Danio rerio: one gene and its partners. Each later gene encodes a partner of the first gene's protein in a complex. Links are inferred from orthologs where the notes say so. Each region holds a gene or a part of one and is shown on either strand. Other genes may lie near its edges.

What was found.
Region 2: the proteins of sart3 (region 1) and usp4 are in contact, whole or in part, in a crystal structure (PDB 5CTR), measured with the Homo sapiens proteins. The link is inferred for Danio rerio from reciprocal best matches to the Homo sapiens genes SART3 and USP4. Residues at the interface, in NP_055521.1 of Homo sapiens: Asp437, Ser438, Ser439, Lys440, Gln490, Arg493, Glu494, Trp496, Asp497, Met500, Thr501, Ala505, Trp511, Tyr514, Lys529, Arg533, Cys537; in NP_003354.2 of Homo sapiens: Met24, Thr27, Leu28, Ser53, Trp54, Glu123, Gly125, Leu126, Phe127, Val128, Lys129, His130, Cys131, Lys132.
Region 3: sart3 (region 1) and ccnt1 share a complex: the UniProt entries of both Homo sapiens proteins name them as parts of the 7SK snRNP complex. The link is inferred for Danio rerio from reciprocal best matches to the Homo sapiens genes SART3 and CCNT1.

What each region holds. Positions count from the first base shown.
Region 1 is NC_133180.1:21,202,803-21,206,456, reverse strand, and holds part of sart3 (squamous cell carcinoma antigen recognized by T-cells 3), read right to left. Parts: intron 2,364-3,654; coding exon 2,211-2,363; intron 700-2,210; coding exon 512-699; intron 1-511. UniProt on the Homo sapiens protein: U6 snRNP-binding protein that functions as a recycling factor of the splicing machinery. Promotes the initial reassembly of U4 and U6 snRNPs following their ejection from the spliceosome during its maturation.
Region 2 is NC_133181.1:44,915,878-44,920,127, forward strand, and holds the start of usp4 (ubiquitin carboxyl-terminal hydrolase 4), read right to left. Parts: upstream 2,845-4,250; 5' UTR 2,833-2,844; coding exon 2,684-2,832; intron 1,320-2,683; coding exon 1,192-1,319; intron 1-1,191.
Region 3 is NC_133198.1:38,752,767-38,757,070, reverse strand, and holds the start of ccnt1 (cyclin-T1), read right to left. Parts: upstream 2,819-4,304; 5' UTR 2,790-2,818; coding exon 2,620-2,789; intron 1,860-2,619; coding exon 1,778-1,859; intron 1,687-1,777; coding exon 1,558-1,686; intron 1-1,557. UniProt on the Homo sapiens protein: Regulatory subunit of the cyclin-dependent kinase pair (CDK9/cyclin-T1) complex, also called positive transcription elongation factor B (P-TEFb), which facilitates the transition from abortive to productive elongation by phosphorylating the CTD (C-terminal domain) of the large subunit of RNA polymerase II (RNA Pol II).

The DNA of each region.
Region 1 (3,654 bases):
TAGATGTCTACATATTGTGTAACATTACATTTTGTATCCCCAACGGCTGAACCCACATGTACGGCAATTCATATATTTAATTGCAAAGTGTGTATATTCTGAGACAATATTGTTTGCTTTTTTGTTGTTTTCTGTTGTACTTAAAAACCTTAAAATAAAAGTATAAAAAAAAAAACAAGGAACCGACAGAACCTGCTGAGATGTATTGAGCAGCATTCACTGCAAAACACGGCAGATTACAAACAGCTGCTCTTCAAAATAATGAGTTGCATCTTTCACAATCACAGTGAGCCTCATCGTCACAATTTAGGTTTTGCTTAATCATTCAGCCCTATATGTTGTATTTACACTTCGTAGTAAAAAAGTGAAGCTTTTTATTTCTCAAATAGAATATTTACAGAAGATTTGATAGCAACAGATTTTCACAGTAAAATCCCAGACATCCCCAAAGCCGTACTTCAGTGTGCGCATGTGTGTGATCAGCTAAACTGGTGAATGCAGCAGCACTTACGCTCCCTGAAGTTGCCTTGGCATCGCTGCCCCCAGGAATCGACTCGGCGCTGCTTCGTCTTTCATCCTCCTGCCTGGGGGGTTGCTAATAGCAACAGAGAGGGTGAAGTTCTCTAACATGGTGCCATCCATCTTCAACACCGCCTGAGAGGCCTGTGCTTCATCTTCAAACTCCACATACGCCAAACCCTACAAACAAAACCCACAAGCTTTGTTCATGTTTCACAACAAGCAGCTTCAACAATCAACAATCAGTGAGTCAGTCTGTTTCTCTTTATACAGAGGTTTACATAATCTTGGATCCAGATATTTAAACAGCAACATTTTAAATTAATCTGAACTAAATCACTTTCAATTTCACTTGAACTGCAACAGCATTCGATCATTACTCTCCTCCCTGCCTGAAATGCTGGAATGTTCCATAATCTGAAATACTTTTATGTCTTTTTTTTCCATCATTGATAATCTCCTTACATTATAAAGGTGCTATAGAAATAAAAATCTCACATCTTTCAATAAGCATTTTAACCACAGAGAAAGACATCAATGAAACAGTTTGTAAACAATGTTATAAATACCCCATCAAATTAATATCATCTCCTGGTGTAAGACAAGCATTTCAAATTTCCTGTACTGTAAGTGATCCTTGGTGACTATACTATGGCTAATCTATGCCAGCTAACTATTTGTTGGGATGTAATTGGGCCTAGGCAAATATTACAGATCCATGTTGTCCACTGAACATTTCCTCCCCAGAGATTATAAACCAGATGAGGGACAAATTAAACTACTTTTGGAACTGCTGTTCCTTTCCTATTTTTACAGCCTAATAAGGTAGGCACTGAACTGAACGCAATTTCTTTGTTAGATTTGAGTTGTAGCTCTTGTGTCTTTGGTAATGTAGCTTTTGTGTTTCACACATTATTAGTTTTGCAATCTCTGGAGATTTAATTTGAAACATCCAAAAGTTTCAAGTCAGTGAACTCAAATAGAGCATCTCTTCTCTTCCATCAATATCAGATATTTTTCTTTCAAAGTTTAAATTTTGTGTGGCTCCATCCCTTGTGTTCCCACACTCTTTAATCATCACCTGGGCGTCTGCTATGTCAACAGTGCTCAGCAAAAATGAGAACACCCCTCACAGACTTGTGCACTTTAGGCACTTGGGTTTAGGTACGACAGAGTAGGGTACGTTTAGCTAGCATGAACGCGGTCTTCTGAACTCAGGTGCGCACATGTCAACCGTACCCGAGTCCACCTGAAAGAGATGGTCTGGGGTATGGTTCAGTTCACTTCTAATATAAATGCAATTGTAACAAAAAACAGAAATGAACCACCAACTGTACAACAAACTATCATTTTCATAATGTTCATTCGTGTGCGTATGTCTGTGTATCACCTGCCTTGGTGACAAGCAGAACTGACCCAGTACAAACATAGTCATAACGTCTGCTCATCTACAATAAAAACGATTTCTGCAGATATCGCATGATTTTCTGAACGTTTTGGATACGGTTCAGGCAATTAAACCAAGTGTGTGTGAAAGCACCCTAACTCACTGAAGCACTATTTCTTTACAATGGATGGATGAATAGACATTTTATCATAATCAAATACATAAATCATAAATTTGCAAACATTACACCTCTGGATTAACAAGTATACTGGTGTCATTATATTAGTGACAGAAACCTACACACCTTGGATTTGCCAGAGCGGTTGGTGACTATCCGGATGGCTCTGATTGTGCCGTGTTCTTTACAGAGATCCTCCAGTGTCTCTTTAGTGGCGGAGTATGGCAGGCCCGAGATGAAGATCTTGTGCTTTTCCATTGAAGTTTTGTACTTAAAAACCTGCCAGACAGACACACGGTTATATAAAATGATCAGCAAGGACTGAATGTTACCCATTACATGTTATAGAAATTATTTGAATTGCACTCCTCATTATGCAAGTCAACACCATAGACCAACTAAAGGTAACCCTAAGGACTATAACCCTTTTCAAGTTAAACCGCAGTTTGGAAATAGTACGATTTTAAAACCGCCAACATTTAATGTTATACCGTTGTAGCAGAAAAGATCTCCAAAGATGCCGTTTTAAATTGAAGGAATCTGTGTTTTTAAAACTAATGAAGACAGCAGAAGACAGTGAAAACCAGGTGGCTCAATTTTACGCACTGGCGGAGCTCGGCGACCGAAAAGTCCTGCTTTCCTTTTTGTGTTCAAAAGGGAAAAAGCTTTAGTTTTTTTTACCCAGACATTTAAAAAGTATATATATTTAGAGCAGCAGTGATAATACTGTAAAACCGTGATATTTTTATACAAGGTTATCATACCGTCAGAATCTTATACCAGCCCATGCTTAATATACACTATGATTAAAGCAAATAAAAAAGTGCTCATGACTTTAGTTCACAGTTAAAAGAAAGACACATGAATATTTTAACAGTGCAATTATCACTTACATATTATAAATATATTAAGTTAATAATACTTACAATATATTAGCCTAGGGGATCTCTCAAGTAATTTATTAGTACGACCCTTATATATTGCAGGGTGTCTGCAGGACTCACCAATTCAAATTTAAGACTAAGACCATTATGAATAGATTTTTAGACTTTAACAGAACTAAACACTAACAGAGAGGGGGAAAACTAATTTGATTCTTTCTTGGCCGCATATGAATGAATGTAACTACTTAAGTTTTATTGAGATGAATTGTTGGTGATTTAGATGATGCACTGTTCAATAAGCGTTCTCGCTCAGCAGTGGAGATTTCCTACTGTTATATCTCTTAAGTTGTTTAACATGCGGTGACACGCAGTCAAATATTTAGTCGAATAGATCAGCAACTTTTGACGCTTCTAAACAATCATAAAGCCCTCGTGCTGAAGGAATTATGAGGTTTGCTGAAGGTGCAGCTGTCGTGCAGTGAGGGGTTTGCTTCTTTAATAACCTGCGACAGTTTGTGTTCATTGAACAGTAAGAATGAATAATCAATCCATATGTAACAGTCCCTTAAAAGTCATGTCTCGCTTTCAGTTTCGGCCTCAGGCCCGTTTTACACTCACACACAAGCGTACCGCAGCAAAGCCCAAGTGAACAATGCCTGAGCCCGATTCAGAACACTCACACTTCT
Region 2 (4,250 bases), on another chromosome or scaffold:
GCACCTTTTGAAAAGGTACCCCCCTAGTGACAGCTCTCGTACCTTTATTTCAGAGAGTATAGTACAGTATTGCCAAAGCATTTCATATATATATATATATATATATATATATATATATATATATATATATATATATATATATATATATATATATATATATATATATATAAAGTATGTAATACAATAACATCATTAAATCAATAAAATATACAGCAAATGATAAATAAATAACAGAAAAAGAAATAAAAATAGACATTACTGCAAAAATGATAATTACTAGAATAAAAAGTGTAGACTATTTAAATCAGGCAAATTAGCTGATTAGCCATTTCTAATGGTGTACAAATATTTTGCAGCCAGGATAATTTGTTCTCTCTGAGTTTATAGTACAGTTGATCTAAGTAGTTTATCAATTAATTATTTAATGTTTTTCTTAAAAAGGTAATGCAAAAACACATACAAATAACAACAACTTTAAAAAGCAAAAGTAAAACCCAAATCCTGAACATTTTAAGACATCCAAGAACTATGGTCAGAGAGATTTTGGAGTATCTCTGTGGGTCTGCTGGCTTGGGATTGTCTGTGTGAGTGTTGACGGTTCTCGTGCACACAGAACCAGCAGTAGGAAACATGCAGAGCGAGAGAAGATTTTCCACTGGTTAATCGATCGCAAATGTTTGGCTTTCTTGGGTGGCTGTTGATACACCTGGGCAGCCCACCCAAAAAAAATCTATGTATGTGAAGCATGTAATAATATACTTGATAATGCAATACTCACATTTGGTGCTTGTTGGCTTAATTCTGGTCTGATTTCAGGTCACAATAGTTTTGGACTAAAATTTGAATTAATAAAGTAGTTATTCTGAGATGATCTTCCTCTCCAGTGAGCTGTTAAAGCTATATATTGTTAATTATAGTCTGTACTGAATCAGTGAGTGTGTCAATATACCTAAAGGATTAGATCAATTGGACTCATAAGCTAATCATTACAAAAAATATATAAATGAAAAGACTTGATTCAAACAGTTTGCATTTAATGGAGAAATAATTTTTAAAAACCTTAAAAAATAAATATTACCAAAAAACCTTTCTTTTTATATATATGTATATTCTGGTGGCAAAACATGCCCATTTTTCTTTATAACATCCATCTGTAAGAATGTGGCAAAACAACACTCAAACATTCACTACCTGAAAAGAGGCCAGAGTTGTCAATGGGTCCCGGGTAGAGATTGTGCTCTCCAACATTGTACAAATCCCAGCTGTCAAAGCCAACATATTTCTTCCACTGTTTGAACCACCGGCTGTCAATCAAATACCTAAACAAATGAAACAATAGCTGGAGATCAGTGAAGAGTCAGAGGGAACAGACAATTAATGTGTTTCTCCTAAATTATGAGCGCAAAACAGTATGCAAAGCGAGTTTCTATTTAGTTACATTACACACCTACCAATTTAGAACAGTCAATAAGGATGCCTTTCTTAATCTCATCTAAAGTAGGAACTTGTTCCACTACATAATCTTGTTAGCACTTGATTCCCTCTGCCAAGAGACAGTCATTGCACTTTGATAAAATGTCAAAAATGTAAATTAACTGACTGGAAACCCAAAAGTGAAAATTTTGTCATTGTCGGCACATTGACAACTTGAATGTTTACATGCATTTTAGCAAAACAAAACGCATGGAATGTAGCAGAAGCTGTCATTTTGAATGAACTAACGTTATTCCTTTAAATCCAAAATGGTGATTTGCACAAGCATAAAGCTGAACTAAAAAAATAAGTCTATTAAAGGTGTCAAGACTCTACTTCTCGGATTGCTTTCCTAAATGAAAGCCACACAGAAACAAACAAACAAAAAAACAAATACAAATATTTAACAGATAATGTATTACATGTTTTGACCTTCAATCTACATAATTTCAAAATATATGTATGTGCATGTCTTATCGGTGCCATAAACTCTTCTGCTGCCTAACAACATTTTGAGTGACTGGGTGTTATCCAGTGGCCATGACAAAGCACTGCCTGCAATACTTGTTTATGTAGCTTACACTCCTTTCTACAACTTTAAAAGGAGAAGTCTGACCTTTATTTTAATCTAGTTTGTCAGTAACCCTAAAATAAGTTTGACGTCTGACAGAAAATAACACTTAACCCGTCAACGAAACGCAAACTAGGCTGGCTAACTAGCCTCGGCTAAAGAAGTGCCTTACATGCCTGACGCTACTTTGCCATGCAACATTAGCTTATCAGAAAACTGATAACCGACAACGGGGTGCTTGAGTTTATTTAACGTTACCAACTCTTCAGCTAACGTTACTGACGTGCCTAAAACACCTTATGCATTAAAGAGACATTTACGGTGGAAATACTGTGATGTTTGGGGAGAAATGGAATGCTAAGGTTGGTTAACCTGTGCTAACTAGCTACAAGACAACTTCATCGTTTTTTAACCGACATAAATTGTGTTAAATGCTAATAATATTAAACCACAAACTGTTGTGTCATATCGCCTGAACAGTAATGTACTCTATATAGTTTCTGGGTGTTAGCAGAACATGTGGCTGTCCACAGCCGGAGAAGTGAAGGGATTTCCGGCAGCCGGTGTCTCCGTCGGTAGGCCTGAGCTGATGCCGACAAGCGTGCCATGACTACGGCTTTATTTAAAAAAAACTCTTACCACTCGTCTCCCTTTCGAAGTAGCGTTTTTAGCAGTGTCCCGATGCTCTGCTTTTGACTCTCGGTGGACGGTACTGGTGTCTGTGTGATCACCGGCTTCTCGTCAGGGTCCGAAGCGTTACCCGACTCGGGTCCGCCTCCCTCCGCCATCGTGCAGCGAGTGAACCCGCAGTGACCGCGAGCGCGCTGCTGAAGTATACCGGGGACGCGCAGCGCTAAAGGGAGCGCGCACACTGGAGCTACTGCCGAGCTCGACTAGCCGCTACATGCAATCTGGGAGCGGCTGATAAATGAAACAAACCGAGCCCTCTGGTACAGCGGTTAATAAACATTTTTTATTAACTGAAATAAGTTTACTATGTTTTAGTTTAATATTGTTACATGTTCTGCCTATAAACTGTAATTTAGGCCTATATTCAATTGTTATTGTCCAATTACTTTATATGAACATGACCAGAAATGTATTTTCTGCTAAGACATTTTTACAAACACTGAGTGCTAGTGAAGTTTAACCTTAAGTTTAACTTAATGATATAAAACGCTCACCAAAATGTTTTTATTTTTACAATTTGTAAAAAAAAAAAAAAAATTATATATATATATATATATATATATATATATATATATATATATATATATATATATATATATATATATATATAATTGTAAAAACAATTCTTAAAATGTTTCAAATTTGAGATTGAGATCTCAAAATTGATAAAACTGTTATTTCTGACTGCAAATATGCACAGGTATGACTTTCTTTCAGGATACATTTGACTTATGTTTGTGAGTTTTGTGTGTGGTGTTCACATAGTAAATGCCATAGCATAACCTTTACATAGATTTGTACCATTCCAGAATAGAAAAAACAAAATAAAACAAAATGTTCATGATGAACAGTGGTTTGGTGTCCACATCATGACACCTCACTTTATACACTTTTTATATATTTATTTGTATTTATTATTTATGTCAGTTAGCTACTAAAATGATTAATGTTCCCTATTAAATTCAGTCTTAGAAGATTTAATCGAATAGTGAATTGCAAAATATTTCATTCGGAGCTGGATCTGTTTCATGAGTCAGCTGAACTGATTCACAAACCCCCTCTAAAAGATTCATTCATGAATCAAACATAACTGAATCAACAAATGCCAAAAATATGTTGCATGATGGTTTTATTAACATGTTTACAAAACTGTACTGGTTTCGATAAATAGCGTTTTATTCAAAGGTCCAAAAATGTACATTTTTGTTTTCTTTAATATAAATGATCAACATTTTAGTTAAATCATGATTATATTGTTGTGTAGGTATTTTTTAACAAGCCACTGCAGGGAGGATCAGGGGCCTGCACCGTGAAGCCAGAATAGTTTGCACCAATTCTGTTTTTTATATACCATAAAGGTAGCTCAGCTCATTCATTCATTTATTCATTCATTCATTCATTCATTCATTCATTTATTCATTTTCTTTCAGTTTAGGCCCTTATTTATCACAGCATGTTTTACGCAGCGGATGCCCTTCCAGCCCCAACCCAGTACTGAGAAAAACCACACTACAGC
Region 3 (4,304 bases), on another chromosome or scaffold:
AAAAACTTAACTACATGTTACGCCAATGCATAGTGCAAGATATGTGACCGCTTGGCTTGATAGCATTGATGATTGTGATCGGGGCCGAGAGTTGCAGGAGAGGAGCGAGCTCCTTGGCGTGAGTGTTTAACAAATATTGAGTCCCTGTGGAGAAGCTCTAGATGAAGATATTTGTTTTGTGTTTATGATTAAAGTTGTTACACGTAGGCATGGGACGATAACCGTTTTCAAGGTTACCGCGGTTTTAAAAGGTCAAGGTTTTAAAACCATCAAAATTTTCCTAAGAGATGTGTACGATTTCTTTTTTTACGTTTTTTTTGTTTGTTTTTTTAGGGCAACAGAATCTCCTGGTGAGAATATTTATCTGAAGACGCCATTTTAAATTGCTAAAAAATCTGTTTTTGAAGCAAATGAAGACAGCTCAAGTGAATAATTAATTTAGCATGACATGTTTACTGCACCAAAATATTTTAAATGTTTCTCAAAATAAAAAATAATGTGTTCAAAAGTTTTTTACCCAGACATTACCCTAAAGAAAGAATAGATTTTAGAGCAGTAGTCACAATACAGTGATATTTTTACCCTAGGTTTTTATACCGTCAGAATCTTAGGTCCATGCTTAGTTCTGCTGGTTCTTAACCTCTGAATGAGTGAGTTTGAGCTACTTGTACAGTGAGTTTGCATTAAAAGTATTTCCAGTAAAAACAAAACACCCGTGAAGAAACTCGGCACAGAAAAATATAGAATCCCCCCTGCCAGCCTGCGTTTCGGTAGTGTTACAGTCAGCGCAACACTAACAGAAACCAGAAATATAAAAGCATGACTAAATGCAAGATATGTGCCATGGGTTATGGCAATCACTAATGCAGAAGTATAATTCAGCCTTAAAGTGTCATACTTGGGGAAAGGTGCTTTATGCAATGGCACAGGTAAACAAGCATCGGAATTGGTACTTGGTATCAGCCGATCATGACATTTTCGGTTGTATTGCCGGAGCAGCTCTTTTTTTTCAACGAAGGAAATAAATCTGAGTTTAGTAGACCATTGTCATGTAAATGTACCTAAAATGGATATTTTGATTAGTCGATAGAAACTTGTCTGATCTGGTATCATGGAGTTATGAACTGTTGGTCAATTAAATAATTTAGATAAAACAACTACAAAATAGTTACATTCAGAAACAAAAATAGGTGAAAAAAACAGCACTCACTCAGGACTCTGAAAAATTAAAGCAAGTTCACTCCAAAGAACATTTTTTATTATCATTTACTTTAGTTTCAGTTTTTTAGTTTAGTATTAAAATTTATAACTGAAACGAATTCAATGCCGTACAAAAAATGCAAAACTACATGCAACTAACCCTAAGCCAAAACTCTATTTCAAACCCTATAGTAAATACACAGTTGTTAACTTCCATCAGTCAATACTTAAATACAACTAAACTCTAACACCTTAAAATGAAGTGTACCCAAAAGATCAAGTAACATTTAAACAAATAACGTAGACAAAACCAATGTTTTTAAGGCCATAATCCATATACAGTACAGTATTACTTACATCACTCCTGGTGTCCGGTGATGGGTCCTGAGGATTGAGACATGCATGGGTCACCTTAATCACATGCTCCAGCTTACGGGGCTGTTCCTCCACCTTCGCTGCTAAAAACAGAGCTGCAGGAGCAATCACCTGAACAACACGGGACATTAAGAGATTATTATCTTGTTCAATGCAGCCAGCATGTTTTATTTGAAACGCGTATATGAAAGAAGACACATACATTCCGGTGGAAGCGAGTGAAGGACTGGACCATGTAAAAGCGATGCATATACACAATGGCAGTGTTAATTGTGAGTTGTGAGCTGAGTGTCCAAAGTTAAGGATTGTAATTCATTAAAATAACAAAAATAAACAGTCTGAAGGCACTTCTGTCCAATATATCATGCAAAATATGACCTTGTCAGTCACAGATTCGTTTTATCTAAGCCTCTGGTATTTTTATTTCAATAAGAGAGATTGCCAGTTCATTTGATACCCTTTAGCACCAGTAAAGTTAAAAGTGAAAGTACTCAGAACGACAAATAAGACGAAAATGGCTGGTTTTCATTAATCTAAAGCACATTAGTAACATAAGATAAAGCAGGACAGCTCATATTTCCTCTATATACTAACTTAAATGTCATGTTACTGTAACAGAGCCACCCTGAAAAGGGAAAATGAAACTATGCTGATTACTATATTTACATATATATTTGAAATGGCATAAATGACATAAACGCCTCATTTTAGAGTATAAACAAATGATGTAATGAAGTAAACAGAGTCAAATTCATATTGGGAATGGCTGTGACACCGGCTACGCTATTGTTCAATGGCAGAGACACCTCCAGTTAGGCCTTGAGGCCTACACCAAACCAAAAAATAAACGCAAAATTGGGACATTAATCCTTTATTCCGTTCGCCTTAATCCACAAGTTTCACAATTGAAAAGGCGTGTATACTGGTAGACCCGTTTCAGGTCATTATAACGCTGAAATTCAACACCACTCGTGCCGCCCAAACCGGCGTCAGCCTCCTCGGAGCAGCTGCCGAGACCGACGCCTGCCTAACTGAAAAAGATACACGTTGAGCCGCTGTCCCATGTCCTGCAGCAGGTTAGCAGCTTGCTGTCGGTACGAGAGCTCTTTGTCGGGATCAAGTCCCGCTCGGCGAGATGGACTGTTTTCGATTTGTTCGCGCGTGAAGTACCATTTATTGTTATTTTGCGAAGGCGAAGGGAACGAAGCCGCCATTACTGAGAAGGACAATGTTTTAAAATCTCACTGCGTCACAGGAAGCGCGTCATCGCTGGCTGGAATGCGACTGCGGCGCTGTTAGACTTAACCCATTCACGTCTGAACAGTACAAACATACATTGATGCAAATTTACTAATCAAAACCCTTATATATATATATATATATATATATATATATATATATATATATATATATATATATATATATATATATATATATATATATATATATATATATATATATATATGAAGTAAAACTGTGTTTGACAGCATTTCTCAGAGCAAGTTTAAGTCAGCTTATCTGCCAACTCATTTACTTCTACTTCTCTACATGAGGATGTATTCATAAATCTTTGTTATGCTTTCAATTTAGCATAAATGTTGTACAAATTTCATACAGAAACTCCTGTCTTAAAGATGATCTCTTTAATTACTGTAAAAATCATATAATGCAGATAATGAGTTGGAATATAGTACTATCTCTCTTCATTGTGTTTGCATCCATTGGGTGGCCAGTCAAATTGACACCATCTCTAAACAGTCTTACTGTATATTTTAAAATGGTGATATATCAAGAGTTTTATTTCTATAAATATAGAATTTTTTTTTGCAATTGTACTCTTCAATACACATTAAAAAACATAATATTTCTATAAAATGGAGGTATCAGTTTTGCAAATAAACTCTTCATAGACATCCTGCTGCTGCTGTGTAATGGGCGTCTGGAGGTTTTTTTGTTTTTGCATTTTTACAGTGCAGTTTTAATCGAGACGTCCGTAATATCAATAAACAGCTGCAATTCCTCCTCTTATGTTGAATACATGGCATATTTTGTTCATATCAACGTCATTTTAGACATGCTTTATTTATTTATTTTTATTTAAAGAACAGCATATAACATTTTAACATTTTAACATAAATGTTAAAATTTATGAATATAATTTTTTTTTAACATCTACATTTTCTTTTCGGTTTAGTCCCTTTATTAATCTGGGGTCGCCACAGCAGAATGAACCGCCAACTTATCCAGCATATGTTTCACGCAGCGGATGCCCTTCAAGCTGCAACCCAGTACTCCCATACACTCCCATTCACACACATACACTACGGCCAGTTTAGCTTACTCAATTCACTTATAGCGCATGTCTTAACTGTGAGGGAAACCGGAGCACCTGCAAGAAACCCACATGAACACAAGGGAGAATATGCAAACTCCACAAAACTCAAATCAGCAATTTTCTTGCTGTGAGGTAACAGCGCTATCCACTGCGCCACCAATAATATAAGTAAATTAGTTAAATAAAAACAATTTCCTCTTTTCAAGGGTCAACAGTAAAGCCAAAAAGTACATTTTCCCACAATAATAAGAGAGGCTTAGAACACTAAAAATTGTTATTAAACATTTTGCACCTCACCCCATCAGTTGATGACAATGCCAAAATAAGTGTAAAGCCGTTTCCTCATATTCATTCATTTTCTTGTCGGCTTAGTCCCTTTATTAATCCGGGGTCG